Linked DNA regions of Cricetulus griseus. The protein of the gene in region 4 purifies or fractionates together with the protein of the main gene of each other region. This does not show direct contact. Links are inferred from orthologs where the notes say so. Each region holds a gene or a part of one and is shown on either strand. Other genes may lie near its edges.

What was found. Proteins that work in one complex are often made in the same cells at the same time.
Region 1: the proteins of Prpf19 (region 4) and Cwc15 purify together in Homo sapiens (co-immunoprecipitation; 4 studies listed by BioGRID and IntAct, with this or other methods). This does not show direct contact. The link is inferred for Cricetulus griseus from reciprocal best matches to the Homo sapiens genes PRPF19 and CWC15.
Region 2: the proteins of Prpf19 (region 4) and Snrpd1 fractionate together in Homo sapiens (co-fractionation; 3 studies listed by BioGRID). This does not show direct contact. The link is inferred for Cricetulus griseus from reciprocal best matches to the Homo sapiens genes PRPF19 and SNRPD1.
Region 3: the proteins of Prpf19 (region 4) and Snrnp200 purify together in Homo sapiens (affinity purification with mass spectrometry; 3 studies listed by BioGRID and IntAct, counting the BioPlex papers as one, with this or other methods). This does not show direct contact. The link is inferred for Cricetulus griseus from reciprocal best matches to the Homo sapiens genes PRPF19 and SNRNP200.

Annotation. Positions count from the first base shown.
Region 1 is NC_048597.1:127,981,545-127,987,436, forward strand, and holds the end of Cwc15 (spliceosome-associated protein CWC15 homolog), read left to right. Parts: intron 1-1,898; coding exon 1,899-2,017; intron 2,018-4,596; coding exon 4,597-4,726; 3' UTR 4,727-4,779; downstream 4,780-5,892. UniProt on the Homo sapiens protein: Involved in pre-mRNA splicing as component of the spliceosome. Component of the PRP19-CDC5L complex that forms an integral part of the spliceosome and is required for activating pre-mRNA splicing.
Region 2 is NC_048595.1:225,858,424-225,863,170, forward strand, and holds part of Snrpd1 (small nuclear ribonucleoprotein Sm D1), read right to left. Parts: intron 3,188-4,747; coding exon 2,996-3,187; intron 1-2,995. UniProt on the Homo sapiens protein: Plays a role in pre-mRNA splicing as a core component of the spliceosomal U1, U2, U4 and U5 small nuclear ribonucleoproteins (snRNPs), the building blocks of the spliceosome.
Region 3 is NC_048599.1:51,355,888-51,361,779, reverse strand, and holds part of Snrnp200 (U5 small nuclear ribonucleoprotein 200 kDa helicase), read left to right. Parts: intron 1-198; coding exon 199-336; intron 337-711; coding exon 712-867; intron 868-1,429; coding exon 1,430-1,600; intron 1,601-3,706; coding exon 3,707-3,900; intron 3,901-4,078; coding exon 4,079-4,202; intron 4,203-5,892. UniProt on the Homo sapiens protein: Catalyzes the ATP-dependent unwinding of U4/U6 RNA duplices, an essential step in the assembly of a catalytically active spliceosome. Plays a role in pre-mRNA splicing as a core component of precatalytic, catalytic and postcatalytic spliceosomal complexes.
Region 4 is NC_048596.1:49,555,905-49,562,443, reverse strand, and holds the start of Prpf19 (pre-mRNA-processing factor 19), read left to right. Parts: upstream 1-2,930; 5' UTR 2,931-3,134; coding exon 3,135-3,153; intron 3,154-5,144; coding exon 5,145-5,294; intron 5,295-5,476; coding exon 5,477-5,553; intron 5,554-6,539. UniProt on the Homo sapiens protein: Ubiquitin-protein ligase which is a core component of several complexes mainly involved pre-mRNA splicing and DNA repair. Required for pre-mRNA splicing as component of the spliceosome.

The DNA of each region.
Region 1 (5,892 bases), on a different chromosome or scaffold from region 4:
GTAGAGTGTGTACAACGGTGCTGGAGTTTGTAAAGCAATACTAAGGAAATTGGGGTTTTGCTTAGATGGGTTCATGGATTTCAGCAGGATTAATCAATCTTCTGGCAAAAGTAGAGAGATTGGAAAAAGTCTGAGGCTGTTTCAGTACTCCTCATATGCAATGAAATGAACTATAATCTGCATGGTGGGAGTTGAAAATCAGAACTAGAAAGATAGCTCAGTGATTAAGAGCACTGACTGCTCCTGCAGAGGACCCGAGTTTGATTCCCAGCACCTATGTGGTGGTAACATCTGAAACTCCAGTCTTAGGGAATCTGACACTTCTTTCTGGCCTCCTCAGTCACCAAGCATGAATGTGGAGCATAGACAAACCTGCAGGCAAAACACCAGATAAAATAAAAATTAAAAGAAAAATAGAATTGCAAGTGAGAGAGGTGTTAATGGTAAAGCTGTCAGGAAAGTAGGTAAATGATCTCCATTGTTGGGTGCGTTGTTTCTGTGGAGACAGAAGCCTGGGTCTGTTGAGAGAAAGAGGTGATTTTTATCTTGAACACAGATAGCATCAAGTTAGAGGCCTCTGCTCCATATTCAACCAAATCAGCACAGCTTTTGTGTGGATATTGGTGTGGGATTTTATTTCAGCCAGTAATTGTTTTGTTTTTTTAAAAAGAGAAAAAGACTTGAGGGAAAAGCACTCATGTGGACCAACACCAAGCACGTGGGGGAAAGAGTTCATGTGAGTCAGAAGGGTCAAGGAAGAATTCAGAAAAGAGGACATGGAACTCAGAGCTGTCCAAACTCAGGATAGAAGAAAGCATAACAGTTCTCATCAAGTAATGGTTCTCATTAAAGTTTGGCATAGAGTGCCACTCCTGTAATAAATAGTTTTATGTTTTGTATCTTTTTTTAATTTTCAAGAAGAGTCATTGGCATGCCACTAGTGGGCAACTGTTAAATGCCTAACTGTTGGTGGTTTTCTGATTGATTATTAAGGAATAAGTAGGCATTTTTTTAAGGTCTTAAGAATTATTGGAGTTTCATCTAATGTGTTGGTATTTCTAAGAGTTGAGTGACACCTTCACTTCTTTTTATTCCTGTCTCCTTAGCTGCTTTTTGAAGGTGTTTACAGTAGCAGCATATTCAAGCTAATTAGCCTGTTGTTAGGGATCAGCACACTTCCTGTAAGGACCAGACAGTAAATATTCTTGTGTGGCTGATCACCCAGACACACAAGTAGTGGCTCTGTTACTATTACAGCTCAGAAGTGGCCACAGTGCCTATATTAATAGGGTGGCCATGTTCTCAAAAAATATAATCTCAAGCCTGGGGGGAAAGTGTAGATTTGATCCAGAGGCTGTCTGACCATTCACCTACAAGTCTGACAATATGTTTTTAAATTTTAAATGTTTATTAAAATGCTCCTAAACTTAACCTGTAAGTAACTAAATAAAACGTTTACATCTGTATCTCAGCTTCTCACAATTGAGAGACTGTTGACTATTTTGGAAAGAATGAGATATTTGTAATAAAAATAGCAATGTATTTACTTTTTACAAAGATTTTTCTGGTATTTGTCAAGAATCAAAAAGAGGAATGAGTAAGTTGGTAAAGTGCTTTCCTGCCATGTGCGAAGCCCTAGGTCCCTACCACTGAAAAACTGGGCCTTGTTGTGTACATCTGTGGTACACAACCATGCACTCAGGAAGTGGGTAAGAAGTTCAAGGTCATCCTCTGCTACCTAGCAAGTTCCATGCCAGCTGGGCTATAAGAGAACCTGTCTCAAAAAGGAGAAAGGAAAGGAGAAAGAAAACTACCATCTGACAGATGTTCATTTGTGAACCAATATAAGACAACTGACTTGAAGTTAGTAACTTTGTGTCTTCCTCTGCCATTGACAGGAACAAGAACAAAAAGCAGAGGAAGAGAGAATTCGAATGGAAAATATTCTGAGTGGAAACCCCCTCCTCAATCTCACTGGCCCATCCCAGCCTCAGGCCAACTTCAAGGTTAAAAGAAGGTACTAAAAGTAATGGGTTGACCAGATGGTGGTGGCACACACCTTTAATCCCAGCACTTGGGAGGCAGAGGCAGGCGGATCTCTGTGAGTTTGAGACTAGGCTGAACAGCCAGGGCTACACAAACCCTGTCTTAACCAAGGGGATAAAAAATAATGGGTTGATCTATATGTGTGGTACATTATTTGTATTATGTGTTACATAAGGCTTCTAAGACCCCACCTCCTATATATAACCTCAGTCAGATTTTAGAATAATGGGAGAAGAAGAGAGGCAGGATGACTTCATTTTAATGCATACTCATAATAACCAAGTGTCTGCCAAGTCATGGTCTAAACCTGATCACTAGCTACATGACGGTAGCTACAAAACCTGTACGTGGGATGTGAGTGGAAGGGTCCTCAAGACCACCCCTCACAGTTCAGTTCTAGAAGGATTCAGGGGACTTGCCATGACCATATTGATGTTTGATATTGTAAGATACACACAGATCATACAGTTGTGAGTATTCATAGATATACATTCAGGTCACAAGGTGGAAAGACATAGACTTCCTTACACTCCTATTCCTGTAAGAGGTCACTAAACAGTGAAACTAGAAGTTGACACTTGATGATCAAGGTTATTGGGACTCGTCCTGCAGGAACTTCTGTTGCGTGGAAGTCAAGTTAGTTATGTACTATAGGCAAGTGATGGTGAGAGGTGACTCGGGTCTCCAGTGCTAGCCGAGCTAAGAGGCAGGCTGGGAGTGAACACTGTACTGCATGTGAAGGAGGAGGGCACTAGAGAGCTGGAAAGAGTCTGCATAATGTGACAACAGATGAGGATGCAGAGGAAAGTAGAGTGAGCACTCACAGGAGCCACTGTGTGTGTGTGATGGGGGGGGGGGGCTGTACTGTGTCAGGGGTGAGGAGTCCCGTTGCCTTTCCTTTCTGCTCACCTCCACCGCTGCTGTCTCATCAGGAATGAAGCACTGCCCCAGCTGCTCTCCTGCCCATTCACCCCAAAGGTCATGCTCCTGCTCACACACAAAGAAAACTCCATCTTCTTCCAAGCTCTTCTCTCATCCCAGCACCATGGTTCTTTCTTTTAAAAGTCACGATAATAGCTGCTTTTTTCTAAATTCGTTCGTTTCTTTACTCGATCACAGTAAAAGAACAGTCCTTGTGGTGACATAAAGCTAAAAACTTAACACACATTCTTGAAGACAACAGTACAGTCAAGGGAAGGTTTGCTGACACCAGCAGTTTAGAGACCAGACTCCAAGCATTTTACCTGAGCAGTTGCAAGGCAGGCATGGGAAGGAGTATGGCTTATACTGAGCATGAAAGAGGAAACAGGTTCCAGGCATGCTAGGATTGGAGTGCTCTACACATCTCTAAGTGTATCTAGTCTGTGTGTTTCTGCAGTTGGTTCAAGCTGGTAATAATTCGTCTGGGAGTCACCAGCATGGGCAGAGGGTTGTGTCAGTGCCTGGAGTAGGGTGCAGTATAAGTTCATAGTACTGGAGTAGTATAAGTTCATAGTAAGTGCTTAAAAACTAGTATTTGGATTTAAAATCCTAGGCTAAGACTAAGCACCTAGAGAAGAGGGCAGCCAAGACATTCCCATTAGTGTTGTGAGAGGAATGAGTGACAGTCTGGGAATACTGTATGCTGATGTGTGTTCGAAGAGAAGGGAGCAAGGGACCAAAAGCTCATTGGGATGAGTTAAGAGACAAAACACGATAAATGAATATGAAGCAGTCTGGTTTATTCTTCCCTTTGTGGATGCAGGAGTAAATATCCCAGTTTACCATGCTGCTGAGCTTCTCATGTGTGCAACATCAAGGCAAATTTACTGACACAGTACCCATAGGTACACATAGTCTTTGCTCATTTTCCTTGTGCAATTTCTCCTGGTAAATATACACCAACACACACAAGCACAATGTAAGCTGTGTTTTATGTATGTTTGTGTCTGTGTTTGTCATGAGGAAGGGTTTATGTTTTTATATGGGAGGTGCTGCTCTGACGTTATGCACTTTACTTTCCATGGCACCTTTCCATGAGTGTGTTTCATGCTCTCTGAAATCCAGCTGAGTTCTACTCTGAGCTCCTTAGCAGATACTTCTTCAGTATTAATGGAGACTGGGGCCAATCTGTGAATCTTCATTGTTACATTCCTGTAGTTCTGTCTTTTGTTGCTTTATGATGTATGACCAGCATGATGGATATAATTGATTAGAAGTATGTACAAAACTTTACAAAGCATCAGGAAATGGATCACTTACTGTCTAGTGGTGTTGGATCAGGACCATGGCCCTGCCTCTTGGTTTTAGACCTGAAAATATCACACCTTTACCTGAGCGCAGTATGTGTGTCTGCTTCTGCTTTGTAGCTCAGAGCTGCTTCCACTAGGGGAGTGGTATGTGCTCTGAGTATGGGTGCCTCCTGCTGTGACAACTTCCACCATAGGCACACCAGTTCTTTTCTTGTCAGGAGGCAGATTGTGTCTGTGTTGATGAAGCTTTACAGCCTGTGTGGTGTTCTTGTTTCCTGATAGAATTATAAGGTATTTATTTTCTTTTCTTCCCCTTTAGGTGGGACGATGATGTCGTTTTTAAGAACTGTGCAAAGGGTATAGATGATCAGAAGAAAGACAAAAGATTTGTAAATGATACACTTCGATCTGAATTTCACAAAAAGTTCATGGAGAAATATATTAAGTAGTACAGTTTTATGTGCTTAATTAAAGTCTAATAAAATGTTAAGGATCAATTTGACTTTTGGGGGGTTTGTTCTTTCCCTGTTTGAACTTTCTCAATCTCTTTCCCGTAGTGTGGTATTTTATCTATAATGGATTTAGAGGTGAGTCTGACCAGTTTCCAGTCTTACTTCCTTTTTAATATGGAGAAAGGGAATCTGCTTGGAATAAATATTTTTAACCTAAGTAAACCAGTGTCCCCAACTTTTTGCCATAATCTATGCAGCTTATAAAAAATTACATGATTATTTTTTTAAATGAAAAGTACTTTATGTGTTGTTTTTAATGCATTAAATTTTCCCTTTATCCCACACTGATTTGAGGTCCATTAGTAGATGACAGCACTGTGTTTTGTAAGTGTGGTAAAGGATAAGGGGGATTCCACATCAGAGAACATGTCACCATAAGTCCTCTGGGGTGGGTCAGGAGATGCCTGCCATATCAGTCCTGCAAACAATGTTCTTTTCTTTTGGCCTATGACATCCGTTCCCAGAACATAAATGAGTACAGGTACTCATTTATGTCCTTTGGAGCTATGTCCACACACTGAGATGCAAAGCTGTCTTGACTTTCATCAGTACTGACAAAGCTATTCTTTTAATGGCATATTATCATGAAAGATATTTCTGTGCAAAGCCAGAGGAAGAAATACAGCCATAAAAAGCATAATTTCTAAGAAATGTGGCTTTAAATGTTCTACTTTGATAGAAAATTTGGGACCACAAACTGAACGTTTCCCAGATGGGAAGCATTTATTTATTTTTTTAAGATGTTTTGCTGTGTAGGCTCACTTCAAAACTGGGCAACCCTCTTCTCAGCTCTCAAGAACTGGGGCTTACAGGTGTCAGCCACCAAGCCCAGCTCAAACTTTTCAAAAACAATTGGCATGTCTCATTTCCTCTTGCTATTTAGTCATTAAAAAAAGCACATTAATTTGGGGATTGGAGTTAATTTATTGGTAATTTGACTCTAGTTAATAGGATTTGTTGCTCTTGCAGATGATATTCAGTTCCTGTCACAACAATCTTAGGGGATCTAATGCCCTTGTCTGGCCTTCATGCAGCACACCCAGACACATATAGAAAAAGATGCAAATTCATCCAGTGTAGAGTTGACAGGCTTGTATGTTGCC
Region 2 (4,747 bases), on a different chromosome or scaffold from region 4:
CATAGATGCTCAGCCACACCCAGTGACTCAGACCACTTCCTGCTGCCTACAAGTCTAAATGTAAGACACTTGGCTACTTCTCCAGTACCATGTCTGTCTGTACACCACCATGTCACACCATGATAAAATGGACTAAACCTTTTAAAATGTAAGTCACCCCAATTAAATGTTTTCCTTTATAAGAGTTGCCTTGGTCATGGTCTCTCTTCATAGCAATAGAAACCCTCAGAGAGTCTCTTCTAGCCTTGCCTGTCCTGGACCTTACACTTTGTAGACCAGGCTGACCTCAAACTTACAGTAATCCACCTGCCTCTGCCTCTCAAGGTCTAGGTGTGCATTTAGTAACAGACAAATAGCTTCTAAAGAAACTAGGACTTTTAGCATCGGGCAGTGGTGGCAAATGCCTTTAATCCCAGCACCCGGGAAGCAGAGGCAGGCAGACCTCTTTAAGAGCTAGTTCCGGACTGGAGAGATGGGTCGGAGGTTAAGAGTACTGGCTGATCTACTGGAGGTCCTGAGTTCAATTCCCAGCAACCATATGGTGGCTCACAACCAACTATAATGAGATCTGGTGCCCTCTTCTGGCCTGCAGGCATACATGCATGCAGAATACAGTATAAATGATAAATAAAACTTTAAAAAAAAGACTGAAGTTTCACAAAAAGAGCTAGTTCCAGGACCGCCTCCAAAGCCACAAAGAGTGAGATGATGACAAGGCAGGACGCTAAAACAAATCATATCAAAAAACTGTTGACATTGTTTATGGACATCAATTAGACTGACAGTCTGCCTCCTCATCCTGCAAAGCAAGTAGTTAGGAAAGAAACAGTAGAAGGAAACAAAAGACACTGACACAGAAAGGCTTGAGGCGAGGGAAAGGTAAATTGTTTTTTAATCTATGCATTAATTTTTAAATAAAAACTAATAAATCCAAGAGCATTTGTATTATTATAACTAATTCCAGCAGGCTACAACACAAAGTGCATTCCTGGGTGGAAGGCAACAAAATCTCAAGGTCAACATATTAAACATCTATGAAACAATGGCCCTTTTCTCCTGCCCAATTCTTTGGGTTTTTTAAGACAGGGTTTCTCTGTGGCTTTGGAGGCTGTCCTGCAGCTAGCTCCTGTAGACCAGGCAAGTCTCGAACTCACAGAGATCCTCCTGCCTCTGCCTCCTGAGTGCTGGGATTAAATGCGAGTGCCACCACCGCCCGGCTCCTGCCCTATTCTTACACTGCTGGCTGACAGCCACATCTCCCCAAGCAGATACTGTGGTTTCAATGTGAAAAGCCCTCCATAGACTCACATTTTGTATCTATCACTTGGTCTCCACCTGGTGGTACTGTTTGCCTTGAGGTTTTATTGCCTGGCCAAACGTCCTGTTCACTTTTTGCTTCCTGACACAATGTGACAGGACAAGGGTTGCTCCTGGAGTTGCTCTGCATTCTCCAGGTAATGAAATGTAACACCTTGAACTATGAATCCTCCTAATGCTGCAACCCTTCAATACAGTTCCTCATGTTGTGGTGACCCCCAACAATAAAATTATTTCATTGCTATTTCATAACTGTGATTTTGCTGCTGTTTTGAATCATAATGAGTATTTGTGTTTCCCAATGGTATTAGGTGATTCCTATGAAAGGTTCATTCAACCCACACAAGAAAGACTAAACCTTTCTTTCTTGAAGCTGCTTCTTGTAAGGTATTTTCTCACAGAAACAAGAGAAGTAGCTAATACAGCAGGGAACTGAAACCTCTCAATGAGAAAAACAGCTCTAGGATAGACTTCTAGATCTTGAAACTTTGAATTTGCCTAGTGAAGAGACCAACTTACTTTGGAACCCTATAGAAGCTGGAACTGGTGGAACAAGCCTAAAAGCCCAGTTACTTAGGGGGACTGAGCAGGAGCGTCACAAACTCAAGGCTAGACTGGACAAATACCGCCCAGCCCCAGAATGTCCTTTCTAAGTATCTTTAAAAATAAACATATAGGGCCAGGCAGTGGTAGCACACACCTTTAATTCCAGCACTCAGGAGGCAGAGACAGACGGATTTCTGAGTTTGAGGCCAGCCTGGTTTACAGAGTGAGTTCTAGGACAGCAACTCTACTGAGAAACCCTGTCTCCACACTTCTCTCCCTCATGTGTGCCCCCCAAAGAGAAAACTACAATTACTAGTCTATCAACAATAACAACTGTGAGTGTGGTAGTCTGAAAGAAAATGGCCCCCAAAGGAAGAGGCACTTTTAGGAGGCGTGGCCTGGCTGGAGTGTGGTCTTATTAGAAAAGTGTGTTACTGTGGAGGTCTCACATATGCTCAAGCCATGCCCAATGAGGCAGTTTACTACATGTTGCCTTTTGATCAAGATGTAGCCAGCACCACTTCTGCTTACACACTGCCATGTCCCACCATGATAATGGACTAAAGCTTGGAAAATGTAAGCCATCCCAATTAAATGTGTTTCCTTTATGACAGCTGCAGTAGTATCTCTTCACAGCAATGGAGACCCTAAGACAGACAGCAACAGAATAACAGGATCTTTGGAAAACTCAAAGGAGGCTTGAGAATAAAGTATGTGCTGACAGAGAGCAAGGTCACAGCTATCTCCCAGAAGCTAGAACAAAAAGGCAGAGACAAGATGAGAAAAGAATCAGCTAAAAGGCTCAGTTCTCATGAATCCCAAGAAGAACAAAGGGAAGAAATCACCAAACTTAATGTCTTCTAAGCTGCATGGGCAAGACAATTCACAATAAATTTTCACACAAGAGAAAGGGAAGCTACAGGCAGCCTCCAAATCTAGAACCCATTGAGGAAAGGACAGCAGAAAAGGCACAGCTCTTCTCACAGCAACTCCAGGAACTCTAGGTATCACATGCACTCATCTGAATATAAGATGCTGCAAGCAATACTATGCCCTCAATGTTCACAGATGTATTCTGAACCACCATTGAATTAAGATTTCAACACACTATATACAAAACATCTTCACTTACCAGCTTCCCTTTTCTTAGATTTCACCTTAGGCTCAACATCCACAAGTAATGTATCCAGAGGTAAGCTGTCTGGTAGAATAAAATATCGGATGTTATTTCCTCGGATACTCAATGTTTCCAACTGTACAGGTTCTCTGTTCTTCAGGGTCATTTTCACAGCTTTAAGATGTGTATTCATGCTGACATCTACACCTAAAGGGAAAGAAAGCACAACAATTACCAACACGATAAAGAAGGCAGCTGAAGGCCAGGCATTAGTGGCAAGCACCTTTAATCCCAGCACTCAAGAGGCAGAGACAGACAAATCTCTGTGAGCTCGAGGCCAGCCTGGTCTGCAGAGCAAGATCCAGGACAGACCCCAAAGCTAAAGAAACCCTGTCTCGAAAAACAAAAAAAATAAACAAAAAAATAGCAGTTGAAATCATACTATAGAGTATTATCCGGGGGCTCAAGAGGTGGCTCAGAGGTTAAGAGCACTGACTTACGGTCCTGAGTTCAATTCCCAGCACCCACATAATGGCTAACAGCCACCTATAAGGTCTGGTGCCCTATTTGGTGTGCACTCTATACATGCAGATAGAACACTGTAAAGATAATAATAAATCTTTAAAAAAAAAAAAGTATTATCTGGTGCAAGTTTCTGAGACAACTTAATACATGTACAACTGGGGGGTGTCAATACAAATCAGCAATTTTTCTTTCATAAAAGATTTTTTCCCAGCCTGAATACTGAGTGCTGAGTACATGTACAGAATTGAATGCACTGGTGGTGTGGTTAAGTCACACCGGTTAGCTCAGCATTCAAGAGGCTGGGTAGGGCAAGAGGAACACCAAGAGTTCAAGAAGAGCCTGGACTACAGAGAAAGAATCCATCTGAAAGACTCAGGAAATTCATCAAGCCATGTCCACCTTTCTTTTTAAAAACCTATGATATTTTTTCCTATCACTAGGAACTCCACCCACCTTCCTGAGACAAAGTGTATCTATGCAATGCACCATAGGCTGACCTCAGACTTGTGATTCTCCTGCCCAAGTCCCCCACCCAAGTGCTTGGTCTAAGGCAAATACCACACCCAGCTTAACATGTCTATTTATTTTTAAAAAGTATATTTTTAGGATTCAGAGAGATGGCTCAATAGTTCAGTGTGCAGAGCTCCTGCAGAGGATCAAATCTGGTTCCCAGCACCCACATCAGGAGGCTCATATGTAAAAACTGCCTGCACTGCAGCTCCAGAGGGAGCCAGTGCTTCTGAACTTCAAAGGCACCTGCACTCTAATGCATACATACATAATTAAAAGTAAAACCTTGGGGGCTGAAGAGATGGCTCAGTAGTTAAGAGCACTGGCTGCTCTTCTAGAGGACCCAGGTCCAATTGCCAGCCCCACATGGCAGCTCACAACTATGGCAGCTCCAGTTCCAGAGCCTTTGACCACCTCACACAAACAGATGTATATGCAGGTAAAACACCAATGAACATAAAATAAAAATAATAAAATCATCATTATCATCATCATAAAAAAAAGAAAGAAAAGAAAAAAGGCAGGTGGTGGCAGCGCACACCTGTAACCCCAGCACTCGAGAGGCAGAGGCAGGTGGATCTCTATGAGTTCAAGGCCAGCCTGGTCTACAGAGCTAGTTCCAAGACAGCTAGGGCTATACAGAGAAACCCTGTTTGGAAATAAAATCCAACAAACAAAACTAAAGATTCTGTGTGTATTAATATGAGTGCGTACATGAGTGTGTGTGTGTGT
Region 3 (5,892 bases), on a different chromosome or scaffold from region 4:
CTGACTGCTCTTCCAGAGGTCCTGAGTTCAATTCCCAGCACCCACATGATGGCTTACAACCATCTACATGCCAGAACCCTGTGACATAATAAATAAGTCTTAAAAAAAGAAAATAGTAATCTTATAAGAAATCTTACAAGAATGAACAGTTTGCAAAAGGATGCTATAACATAAAGTGCAAAACATTTCTTCCTCTAGCAACTGCTTCCTGTGGAGAAGCTGCCAAAGTATGCCCAGGCAGGATTTGAGGGTTTCAAAACACTGAACCGGATCCAGAGTAAACTCTACCGTGCTGCCCTGGAGACAGATGAGAATCTGCTGCTGTGTGCTCCTACTGTAAGCATTGCCCCGCCTGCTTTTTCTGTCCTGGAATGTTTTGGTGGCTAGTTGGATCTTAATTTTTACATCAGGCTTTATTCTTATGGTTATTTTGAGACAGGGTCTCACTATGTAGCCCTGGCTGTCCCGAATCTCACAATGTAGGCCAGGCTGCCCTTAAACTCACAGAGATCTGCCTGCCTCTGTCTCTGCCTTCCAACTGCTGGGATTAAAGGGGCGGCATACCATTCCTGGCTATTCTCTGTTCTGTTGTGGAAGACATAGGACAATCCAGTGGTCAGTTCTCTCTCTCGTTGTTAGCCCATTAAAGTCAAGGCAGTAGCCATATAGTTCATCAGACATGAACAGACTTTGTCTCTGACCTGCCTCTAGGGTGCTGGGAAGACCAATGTGGCCCTGATGTGTATGCTTCGAGAGATAGGGAAACACATTAACATGGATGGCACTATCAATGTGGATGACTTCAAGATCATCTACATAGCTCCTATGCGGTCCCTGGTGCAGGAGATGGTGGGCAGTTTTGGAAAGGTGAGTCACATCTTCTCGAGAAGGTACTGGCTGCAGATGGCCATGAAGTGGGGGAGGGGCCTATGTGCCACTCTTTCTTTCCTTAGGGAATCTCTGGATTTTTTTTTTTTTTTTTTTTTTTTTGCCATTTCCAAGGTAGAACGTGACCCAAGTGATTTCTGAAGGAAAAATGTCTTGGCCTCTCTTACATGGACTCCATTTTTCTTTGAGCATCTCCAGAGTGCTTGTGGAGTCATGTCTGGCCCACGGATATGGTTGATAGCTTGTGAGTTGTTACTCCAGTTCCACTCTCCTAAGTGTGTCCAGTTTCCTGCTCCATGTGGGGCTCCTAGAGACACTTTGCCTCGTCAACCTGAGTGGAACTGAACTTGTTTAAATAGTATTTGGTCATCCTCCTGATTCTCCAGATACTTAACTTCTCCTAGTCCCCGGCACGGGAGCTGCTGGCGGCCCTTGGAGCGCCGTCTTCCAGACTGCACACATGAGGCAGGCTCCCTGCCGCTGATCCGTACTTCCAGCCCCGTCACTTGGTTTGCTGATGATCCATCGTTTCCTCCCCCAGCGCCTGGCCACATACGGCATCACTGTTGCTGAGCTGACTGGCGATCACCAGCTGTGCAAGGAGGAGATCAGTGCCACCCAGATCATCGTGTGCACCCCTGAGAAGTGGGACATCATCACTCGCAAGGGCGGGGAGCGCACCTACACCCAGCTGGTGCGGCTCGTCGTCCTGGTGAGTCGGGCGCGAGCGTGAGGAGAAGTTATGGTCGGGGCCTTTGCTGCTCTTGTTGTTAGTGGGGTGAACCTGGGAGAGCAGGGCCCAAAAAAGAGGCAGGCTAAAGTATCACGCAGTAGCCAACTTTATTCAGAGCATCAGGCAATTTATACTCCGAGGGTTAAGAAGAATCATAGGAATAAGGTATTGAGTCACAAGGGTAAGCCACACATGGTAAAAACATGTTTTTCATAGAGGCCTGTGAATAATAACAGTTGAGGTAAACTCACTACTACCCACTATACCTGGGAGGAGTACGAAAACATATTCCAAGAACAACTCTGTTTTTGAAGAAACTGAGGTCACCAGACTCTTGTTTCCTTGGCGTTTTCTCCCGAGTGACTCCATTTTTGGACTGTGTTCTAATGGGTGGATTTGCTGTGTCTACCTGTTTCCTGTGTGCACTGTCCTTCATACATACTGCCCTTCCCTTTAACCCAGCACCTGCATGTCGCAGAGGCTTCCCTTCCCTCCCTGTCAGTGCATGATGTTTGCCACGCTCCCCATTTTTGTTTGTTTTTTTGAGACAGGGTCTCTATGTAGTCCTCACTGCCCTGGAGCTCACTCCAGATCTGAAATATTTTGAATCAAATGGAAACACACAAAAATAATTTTGTCCTCCCAAGAACATTGAAATGCTTTGTAAATAATGCATTTTCAGACAGGACAAGTAAGGAATTGGGCCATGTGTTCCAGTTATATGGAAGCATCCACAGGAAATGGACCTTGAGCCAAGTGTTGATTCTTGTTTTTTTTTTTTTAATATTTTATTTAACTTTTTTTTTAAAAAAAGATTTTATTTATTTATTTATTATATATACAGCATTCTTCCTCCATTTATGGCTACATGCCAAAAGAGGACACCAGATCTCATTACAGATAGTTGTGAGCCACCATCTGGTTTCTGGGAATTGAACTCAAGACCCCTGGAAGTGCAGCCAGTGCTCTTAACCTGAGCCATCTCTCCAGCCCTATTTAACTTTTTTTAATGTGCATTCATGTAAGGATGCCAGATCCCTGGAACTGGAGTTACAGACAGGTGTGAGCTGCCATGTGAATGCTGGGAATAGAATCTGGGTCCTCTGGAAGAGCAGCCAGTGCTCTTACCCACTGAACCATCTCTCCAGCCCCTGATTTTTGTTTTTTTAATTAATTGCATTTGTTTATTTTCTGATGTTGTATATAGTATGGAGGTGCATGTGTGTGCCTGTGTGCCTGCGTGTGTAGGTTGGTCAGAGTACAACTTATGAGAGTCAGTTCTGTCCTACCATGTGTGTTCTGGGAGTTAAGCTCGAGCCATCAGGGTTGGCAGTAAAGTGCCTTTACCCACTGAGCTATTTCGCAGGCCTCTGAGGGTTGATACTTTACAGTGGCTAAGAAAGTAGTTCATGTTCTGTGTTCAGAGTGGGAGTTGGCAAACTGTTGCTACAAGTTTTTGTTTTATTGAACACAGTAGTGTAGATTGGTTTATGTACTATTTCCAGCTACTCTTGTCCTGATTGTTGCTATGGCAGAATTGAGTATTTGTAACAAGGGTTACATGGTTCACAAGCCTACGGTATTACATGGTTGGTACTGGATGTCCAGCCCTTTAAGAAAAGTTTGCTGACCCTTCTTTTAGAGCCTTGCTCCTCCATGTCTTTCCTATAGCAATCCATACAGCTGCTTCTTAGGAGTGCCAAATCCCTGGCCTGTTCACTCCTTTGAATTCCATTTAAATCTCTAGGTCTTCCAGTGCTTACTCTGTCTGAGAAGCACTGCTGTTGGCAGTGTGACCTTATTGTAAGTGAAGCCTTGTAGTTTTTGTTCTTGATGAAGAGACCTGCCCCAAAGTGAAGGCCTGTTTGATACAACCTGGGCAGAACCATCATATATTTGTAAGATTTATGGTAAAGTGGAGGACTCACTCGTAAGCCTACACTGAAGCTGTCTTTGTTCTTTAGGACTCTGACTTGAGGCTCCTTTTTTTGTCTTCATTAGGTGTCTTAGGCTATATACTTCTACAGCAGACTGTCTCAGGGGAGGAGGCTATATTTCTGGTTTGCTGTCTTTGGTTTCCTTTAGGATGAGATCCATCTTCTACATGATGACAGAGGTCCTGTCTTAGAAGCTTTGGTGGCCAGGGCCATCCGAAACATTGAGATGACCCAAGAAGATGTCCGACTCATTGGTCTCAGTGCTACCCTCCCCAACTATGAAGATGTGGCCACCTTTCTGCGTGTTGACCCTGCCAAGGGCCTCTTCTACTTTGACAACAGGTATAACGTGTTACTAAGGCAGACTTCCTGTCCCTTCTCTAAGGGACACACTAAATGACTTTTAGGGGTCCTGTGTGTATTTAAAAATCATTATTGCTTCTGGGTCAGTGGAAAGCTACTTTTTTACCCACAGTATTCTCTGCTGGAAATCTCATTTGTATAACTGTTGAACTTCTAGCTTCCGCCCAGTGCCTCTGGAACAGACATATGTGGGCATCACAGAGAAGAAGGCTATCAAGCGTTTCCAGATCATGAATGAAATAGTCTATGAGAAAATCATGGAACATGCTGGAAAAAATCAGGTCTGTTGATGGTTCTTGAACGTTTTCTGTTTTTGACATAAGCAAAATTGACAAGATAATAGCAAGAATCACCAGTGATCATAAACGACATTAATTATTACTACAAAACTTGCCTTAAAGCTGTGTGGTGGTGGCACATACCTTTAATCCGAGCACTTGGGAGGCAGAGGCAGTTGGATCTTTGTGAGTTTGAGGCCTGGTCTACAGAGAGAGTTCCAAGACAGCCAGGACTCTTACACAGAAAAGCCTGTCTCGAAAAACCAAGAAAACAAAAACAAAAACTCTTGCCTTAAAAATGTGGTTAGGAGTTAGGAGAGTTGATACATGCCTGTAGTACCTAGTACCTAGGAGGCTGGGGCAGGAAGACCTCAAGCCAACTGTATAGCTTGAGCTATACAGTGACACCTCCCCCCCCAATCCAAAACAAAAACAAACCACCACCACCTCCACCAACAACCCAGAGAACAAAGGAATGATTAGGAACTGGGGGTGTAGCCCAGTGGTAGAGCATAGACATAGCATGTGTGAACCCTGGGTTCAGTTTCTGTCACTGCATAAATAGGAGATGGAATAAAGAGCAATGGCTGCTTTTGCAAAGGACTCAGGTTCAGTTCTTAGCACCCACATGGAGGCTCAGAGCAGTCTGTAAACTCCAGTTCCAGGGGATCTGACTCCCTCTTCTGGCCTCTGTGGACATCAGATACATACATGGCACACATACATACATACATACATACATACATACATAGTATTTATACATATAAAATAAAGATTAATAAGTAAGTAAATGGGTAACTTAGAAGGAATGGATCACTTCCTGAAAAGAACTATTAATGTATCCTAGATGAAATACAATCTGAATAATACTGTAGTCATTAATGATAGTTTTATAATTAATATCTCCTCTTCCCAAGTTGGTGAAACTAGAAAAATCTGTCTATAAGATAGCAAAAACAAACCTGCAAATTAAAATCTAGTGAAAGCAAGCCAGTGAGATGGCTCTGCAGGTGACAGTGCTTGCCCCTAAGACTGGTGACTTGAGTTTGATTCCCAGAACCCACCTGGCGGAAGGTAACTCCACTGACCTCTACAGGTGTGCTGTGGCGTGCATGCATGTCCCCCACACAAAATAAATAAATAATTAAAGCAAACAAGCTATGGTGCATGACTTTAATACTGGGTCTTTGAGTTCAACACCAGAGTGCTTTGCATAGTTTCAGTTTGGCCAGGGATACATAGTGAAACCCTATCTAATGAAAGCACATTTTATTTGGAAGTTGAACAGAGGTTGGCAATGTTTAATGTGGCAAGAAGTAAGAGGTTATGAGTTTCTTTTTCTGATAAGAAGCAGGGGAATTTATATGACAAGACTTCAGGACCCTAGATCTTAGGAGGACTATTTATCTTATAACATGAAACTAGTTTCAAACTTATTTCCTAAATCATTCTATAAATAATGTAATAGTTTTGCTATTATCCTTTTTAAACCTTTTTTTTCTTATTTTTATTTTATGTGCATTGGTGTTTTGCCTGCATGTAAGTCTGTGTGAGGATGCCAGATCCCCTGGGACTGGAGTTACAGACAGTTGTGAGCTGGAAACTGCGCCTGGGTCCTCTGGAAGAGCAGCCAGTGCTCTTAACTGCTGAATCTCTCCAGCCCTGTAGTTTTACTGTTATCTTGCAAACACAT
Region 4 (6,539 bases):
GAGGAACATTGGGAAAGAGAATAAAAGTGGGTGGAGTTTGTTTTTAAAGGGTCCTTTGCACCTGTGTACAGACCAAGTAGTGATGTAGCAGCCATGGAACACTGGCTGACCACGGTACTCCCTGAGTGTATTCTGCCAGGTGACAGGCCAGCAACGTGCCTGAATCCTTACACCAAGAACAAGGCTCCAATACCTGAAGAGTGCCACAACATATAACATAACAGACAGAATCACGTGGTAACTCCAAGCAAGTATTCCAGACAGGTGTGTGAGTTAGTTCCCCCCTCCCTTTTATGTGGGAATTGGACTTGGGTCATCCCGGCTTGAACAGCAGACGTATTTTCCTGCTGAACCATCTGGCTGGCCCTATTTTATCTTTGTGGTGCTAGAGATCTAACCCAGGATCTTGCACTAACTAAGCAGGCACTCTGCTACTGAGCTCTGACCCCAGCTCTATAAAACAAGTTTTTATAACAAAGCCACTGCTTTCATAATCCACTAACCTGTTAATCCCATAGTATATGAGGTCAGAGCCCTCGACACCCAGTCACTTCCCAAAGGCCCTCTCTCTCAACACTGCTGTATTGAGAGAGAGCATGTTTCCATCATACCAGGTCTCTCTTTTTTTATTCCATTTGTGTGTATGTGGCTTTTCCTGGGGAGATGGCAAAGAAGCAACTCCACCCAAGCCTAGCTTGGTGAAGCAGTTAAGTTTATAGGTGTCACTTAAAGGCCTACGGGTGACTCAAAGTCAACTGCATGCCTAAAAAGCCCACCCCAGCATGAAGGAGGATTCACAAGAACTGCTTTTCTGGGGCTCCCTGGCCAACTTGCAAGCAGTTCCACTAAAAGTTTTTCCTCTCCCCAAATCACTTGCTGCTTTATAACACTAGGGAGGGCTTTGAGAATCTTTTTTTTTTTTTAAGATTTTATTTATTTAGTATACAGTCTTTAGCCTGCACACCAGCAGAGGGTACCAAATCTCATTCAAGGTGGTTGTGAGCCACCATGTGGTTGCTGGGAATTGAACTCAGGATCTCTGGAAGAACAGTGCTCTTAACCGCTGAGCCATCTCTCTGCTTTGTGAATCTTAACAACATTCAGAAGTTATTGAGCCTGGTAACTGTCACTTGAGTCTTAGGGGACTCCTTTCTCCCTCTTGAGGAAATGTTTCAATTCACAGGAAACAGATACTACACAAAACTATCCTGTTCCAAACTATTTTGTATGTATCTTCCAGAGGAAACTTCTGAAAGTATGGTTATCACTTCATAGCTCAAAATGCAGTGAAATGCTACTTTGTTGCCAGACCAATCTAGTCTAATCACCTTGGGTTCAGGAGCCCCACTTAGACTGATTTATTTCCTCTCTATATCTAAATACTTGAGATGCCTGGCCTGTCAGGCAGCCTGCCATTCAGTAAACAATACTGGCAATGTCTCTGCTAAGTGTCAGGCACTGAGCGACACTCTTAGACTCTTGAGAACTAGTAGAGAGAGTAGTACAATCTAGTAGAGGACCCAGGTGCTAAAAGGACTTTCTAAATAAATAATTAAAACAATAGTTACTAAAAGTGTTTTGGAGAATTCCAAAAACCAGTGAGAGGTCAAGAAAGGGGCTGCAGAAGAGGCTATACTTAAGATGAGGCTGAGGTTTGCACTGGAGGGTTTGGCCAGGGAGGCGAAAGGAATTGATGAAAGCTGTCCACATAAACATTTTGAGCCTCCACATGCCAGTATTCTGGGGGCATTGAAGGGCGAATATGGCTGAGAAGATGAGGTAAGGCTGTAGAAGAGGTTGGCTCATTAGAAACCTGTGGTCTCAGGACTGACACCTGTCCTTCATTTAGGTCTCATCAAAAATGTCACCACCCTTTGGGCTGGTGAGATAGCTCACTGGGGAGAGGAACTTATTGCCAAGTCTGACAACCTGACTTCAATCCCAGGATCAACATGATAGAAGGAGTAAACCATTTCTCCTTTGATCTCCACACATGTGCTGTGACACACACACACACACACACACACACACACACACACACACACACACACAAACAATTTTTTTTTCTTTTTCGAGACAGGGTTTCTCCGTGTAGCTTTGGAGCCTATCCTGGCACTCGCTCTGGAGACCAGGCTGGCCTCGAACTCACAGAGATCCTCCTGCCTCTGCTTCCCGAGTGCTGGGATTAAAGGTGTACACCACCAATGACCAGCTCTAACTTTCCATTCTTATTACTTATTTAGAGACATGTTTCTATGTCTTTCTACATAGCCCAGACTGTCCTGGAACTTACTATGTAGACCAGGCTGGCCTTGAACTCACAGAGATCCACTTACCTCTGCAGCTGAGTGCTGTGATAAAAGGCATACATGAGCATGCCCAGAAAATTTCCATTCTTTTAATATCTACACAAGACGTTGGGAATTAAATTCCTTCCAGTCTAGAAAAGAGACTGTGTTTAAGACGTGGTAGACGACGAAGCCAGTGACTTGTCTAAATTCACAGAATAAGAGTAGAGACAGAACCTGGGCAGCGTTAATTTCTTTACTCATTTGTGCTTTATTCACAGGGTCACCTGGCATTGTTTCTCAAAAAGAGGCCAAGGAACACAGGCTTCAGAATCACGCCCACAGATTCTCTAAGGCAGACCCTAGAAATATGTATTTTTATAAGCTCCTGAGGTAATTGTCCTGCACACGACCGTCTCATATACTGCTGTGCCCTGGGTGACAGCAGCACCACGTCAAAAGCAGCCTTGGCCAAATTCCTGGGTTTATGGTTCCCACAGCCTCATGGGAAATGTAGTTTCGACTGACCTTCCCGCCTCCGGCCTCTGGGTGAGCTCGCCGGAAGGAGCCGAGCCAATGCGGAAACAGCCGAGTGTTCCGAGGCGGGCCTTTTCCTGCTCGATTGCATGCTGGGAAAGGGCAGTTTCCGTTAGCTGCTGAAGGCTGAGGCGCGCCACCGGCCACCTCCCCACGTGAAGCAGTTGTCCGAGCATCGCCAAGCCGGGCAGCTGTCTAACCCGCGTCCGAGCGCCCCGGAAGCGGCGGGGGACCGGAAGTGGCCCGCGGAGGCTGCAGAGCTAGTCCGGGAGCCCGCTGTGAGGCGACTGGCAGCGCTGCGACGGCGCCATGTCCCTGATCTGCTCGAGTGAGTGCTGGCTGCGGCGGGAGGCGGGAGCGTGGCTGCGGCCGGGGCCCCGGAGCCCGCGGCCCTGCGTGCGGGGTGCATTTGCGCAGTGCCGCGCAATTCACGTAGCTGGGAAGAATGACTGTGGTTGTTACACTGAGCGGAGACGGGCCTGAACGGGGTGGGGGGGTGGGAAGGGGGAGTTGGTGCAGGGAAAAACAGCTCCTGGTGTGGGAAAACCGAGGACGTGTCCAGCATCCGCCTCCGATTGTGACCTGGTCAGCAGCGGTCCAGGGCCTCAGTTTCCCCATCTGCAGCAGCATCCATTGAAAGCGTTGCAGTGGGTATTGCTCGGGAACGTCGCTTAGGCATCGATGTGTCTGCGATTTGCAGGGATCACGCAGTGACTTGGAGGCAAGGCTGGAAGCCAGGTGTCTGGCTTCTAGCCTCGCGCAGTATGACTAATGAAAACAGCGACCATTTAGGAGACCTGTATTGATGTACGACGCACTTCCAAACGATGATCCCATTTTATGCTTACAAAAAAAAATTGTCTGAATGGAAATAAAGATCCGTGATTTAGAGAGGGCGTCAGAAATCTTAGGAAGCATGAGGTTTATCCAGGGGTGTGCGGCACAGCTGGGCGGTGGAGCTCGGTTCTTTGAGCCCGGATCCATGCTTTTTCCATACTGTATGCTGTCTTGTCATTGGGTGTTTTGTTAACGGCATTGCGGGTGTTTACCTTCTTGTTTACCACATCACTAGCTTCCCCTCCCTCTCCATTCTCTTCTCAGAACGTTGCCATTAATTCAAAGAGGGAAAGGAAGGAGGGAAATGACAAACAGAAAAGGGAATTCACATCACACATAAGAAATTTCAGTTTGCAAAGTATTTTCGAACGATTTGTTTCCTTTTAATCTTGAGAGAGCACGCTTACATGCCCTGGGCCATCCTTCCTTTTTGTAGGGGAGGGAAAGCTCACTCAAGTGTTCAGTGGTTGAGTATGTGAGTGAGATAAGCCAACAGAATAGCACAGGAAAGCCATGTTTCCTCCCATACTTCATTACTTATGCATGGGAATCCTGCAAAAATAGGTGATTCTAAGGGAAGCTTGTACAGACCCATGTGCCACAGAAGAGAATAGGAGCTTGAGGCCTCAGGTGGGAAGGCAAACAGAATTATGTGGTGAATAAGAGCTGTTCTGTTACGTGATAAGTCTCTCGGGCAATAAATAATCTCTCTCAGAAGAGTCTTGAGTGTGGAGGTTGCTTTCACTCGTCTGCTGAGGTGAACCAATTGTCCCTGTTTAGGGGACGTTAGAGAAACAAGAGGGCCTGAGAAGGTCAGAGAGACCTTGATTCTGAGCTTGCTTTTGAGTTCTTCCTTTTTGGTAGTTCAGCATTACCAGGCTCCATACTTTGGGATATTTTTTATTGAGCCCCAGGATGTACCATGTTCTGATGTTTATCAAGTGTCTGCTTAGTATCTGCATTGTCCTGGAGGTCAGTGACAGCTGTGGTGCCCATCTTCAAGGGTACACAGACTATTCTGTCAAGTGCCTAGAATAGAATCTTGCTTGGCACACAGTAGCAGACACTATAGAAAGGTTTTTTATTTATTTATTTTTTAATTTATCAGTGCTTGTCACATTGCTTAGAAATTTTTCTGCCTGTTCCATCTAGGGCTCCAGACGAATGGCAGGGGTTTGAGTTGTGTGTACTTATTTGTCATATGCCTAGTCAGTCATATTTGTTCAAAAATGAGATGGCAGGGCATACTGACCACTCTTTATGGGACTGACATATAGTTATTATTTACTGGCTTTTATTATCAGCAGACTAGAGAACCTAGTTAAGTAGTTGGCAAGTATTCTAGGGCCAAGTACCAGCTGGCTTGCTGTCACAGACCTTGCTTTCTGATAGCTGAGTATGAGGACAGGGTCTTGTGGGGGCCGATACAATCTAGCCCAGGCCTCCTTTTACCCTGTGTTCACTACCTGCCTTTCTCTATAGTCTCCAACGAAGTGCCAGAGCACCCATGTGTGTCCCCTGTCTCTAATCATGTGTACGAGCGGCGGCTCATTGAGAAGTACATTGCAGAGAATGGCACAGATCCTATCAACAACCAGCCTCTCTCAGAGGAGCAGCTCATCGACATCAAAGGTGCCCGCCCGACCGATAGCCTAAGTCCAGGGCCAGCTCAACTCAGCCTTCAAGAGTGGGAGGAGGAGCCAGTCTGGTGGAGAAGATGGTGGCTGTGAATGAATAAAGAAAGGAGGGGTGGGGGAGGGGTGAGCCCCCGGGGTTCTGGTTCTTCATACCTGCTTTGCTGCCTCTCTTGGCAGTTGCTCACCCAATTCGGCCCAAGCCTCCCTCTGCCACCAGCATCCCAGCCATTCTGAAAGCCTTGCAGGATGAGTGGGTGAGTTCTTTGAAGAGTATGCACCTCTGGGCCTGGGGATTAAAAAGGTGGGACTGCCCTCCTTTTCTTTTTAATTTTTTATTTTATGTGTATGGGTCTTTTGCTTACATGTATGTCTGTGTGTCACTTATGTGCCTGGTGCTTGGGAGGCAGGGGGAGGGTGTGTGATCCCTTGGAATTGTGGTTACAGACCGTTGTGAGCCCCCATGTGGGTTCTGGGAATTGAACCCGGGTCCTCTGGAAGAACAGCAAGTGCTCTTAACTCCTGGACTGTCTGTCTCTCCAGGCTCTCTTATTTTCTTGAGATAGGGCCTTGCTTTGTGGTCTAGACAGGTCTGGAAACTCATGATGCTTCCTCCTCAGCCTCCTAGTGCCTAGGATTACAAGTGCCCACCAGGCCTGACTCTTTGGGGGGATGAACACAGGGCTAATGTAAATGCTGTACCACTGAGCAGCCCCCTCATTTCTTGCCAGCCATATTTCATTTGTGAGGAGCAGGATGGCAGCACAAGAGGAGCCTGCTTGTTGGAAGTCTTGCAGACCTGGATTCCAAAGTTTTCTCCACTGTCAGCCTTTGTGACTTGGGGCACACTGCTCAGTCTCTGAGGCTTGACCTTCCTGACTATAGGACATTGATTAGTCCTGTCTGTCTGTACTCTGTAAGAAGTAGAATAAAATTGACAAATTTGCCTTGTGACGTCAGGGACTCTCTTTCATTACTGAGCACTGCACTTGCTGAGGGTAGCTAGTAAATAACCACAGCAGCATTATTTCCTTTCAGAGAAGTGATGGCATTAACATATGTGCTTTACTGCTGAAGTAAAGCAAAGCTGGGGGTTGGAAGGAGCCAGATCTTGCTTCTGTCTATGTGTCCAGGGTGTGGTGTGGAGTAGGAGCCTGAATGCCTTACAGGGCATTCAGGGTCACTCATATGTTAGCTTGGGTCTCTGAGTAGTTCAGGTTGGCTTCAGTGTAGAATAGGAGGT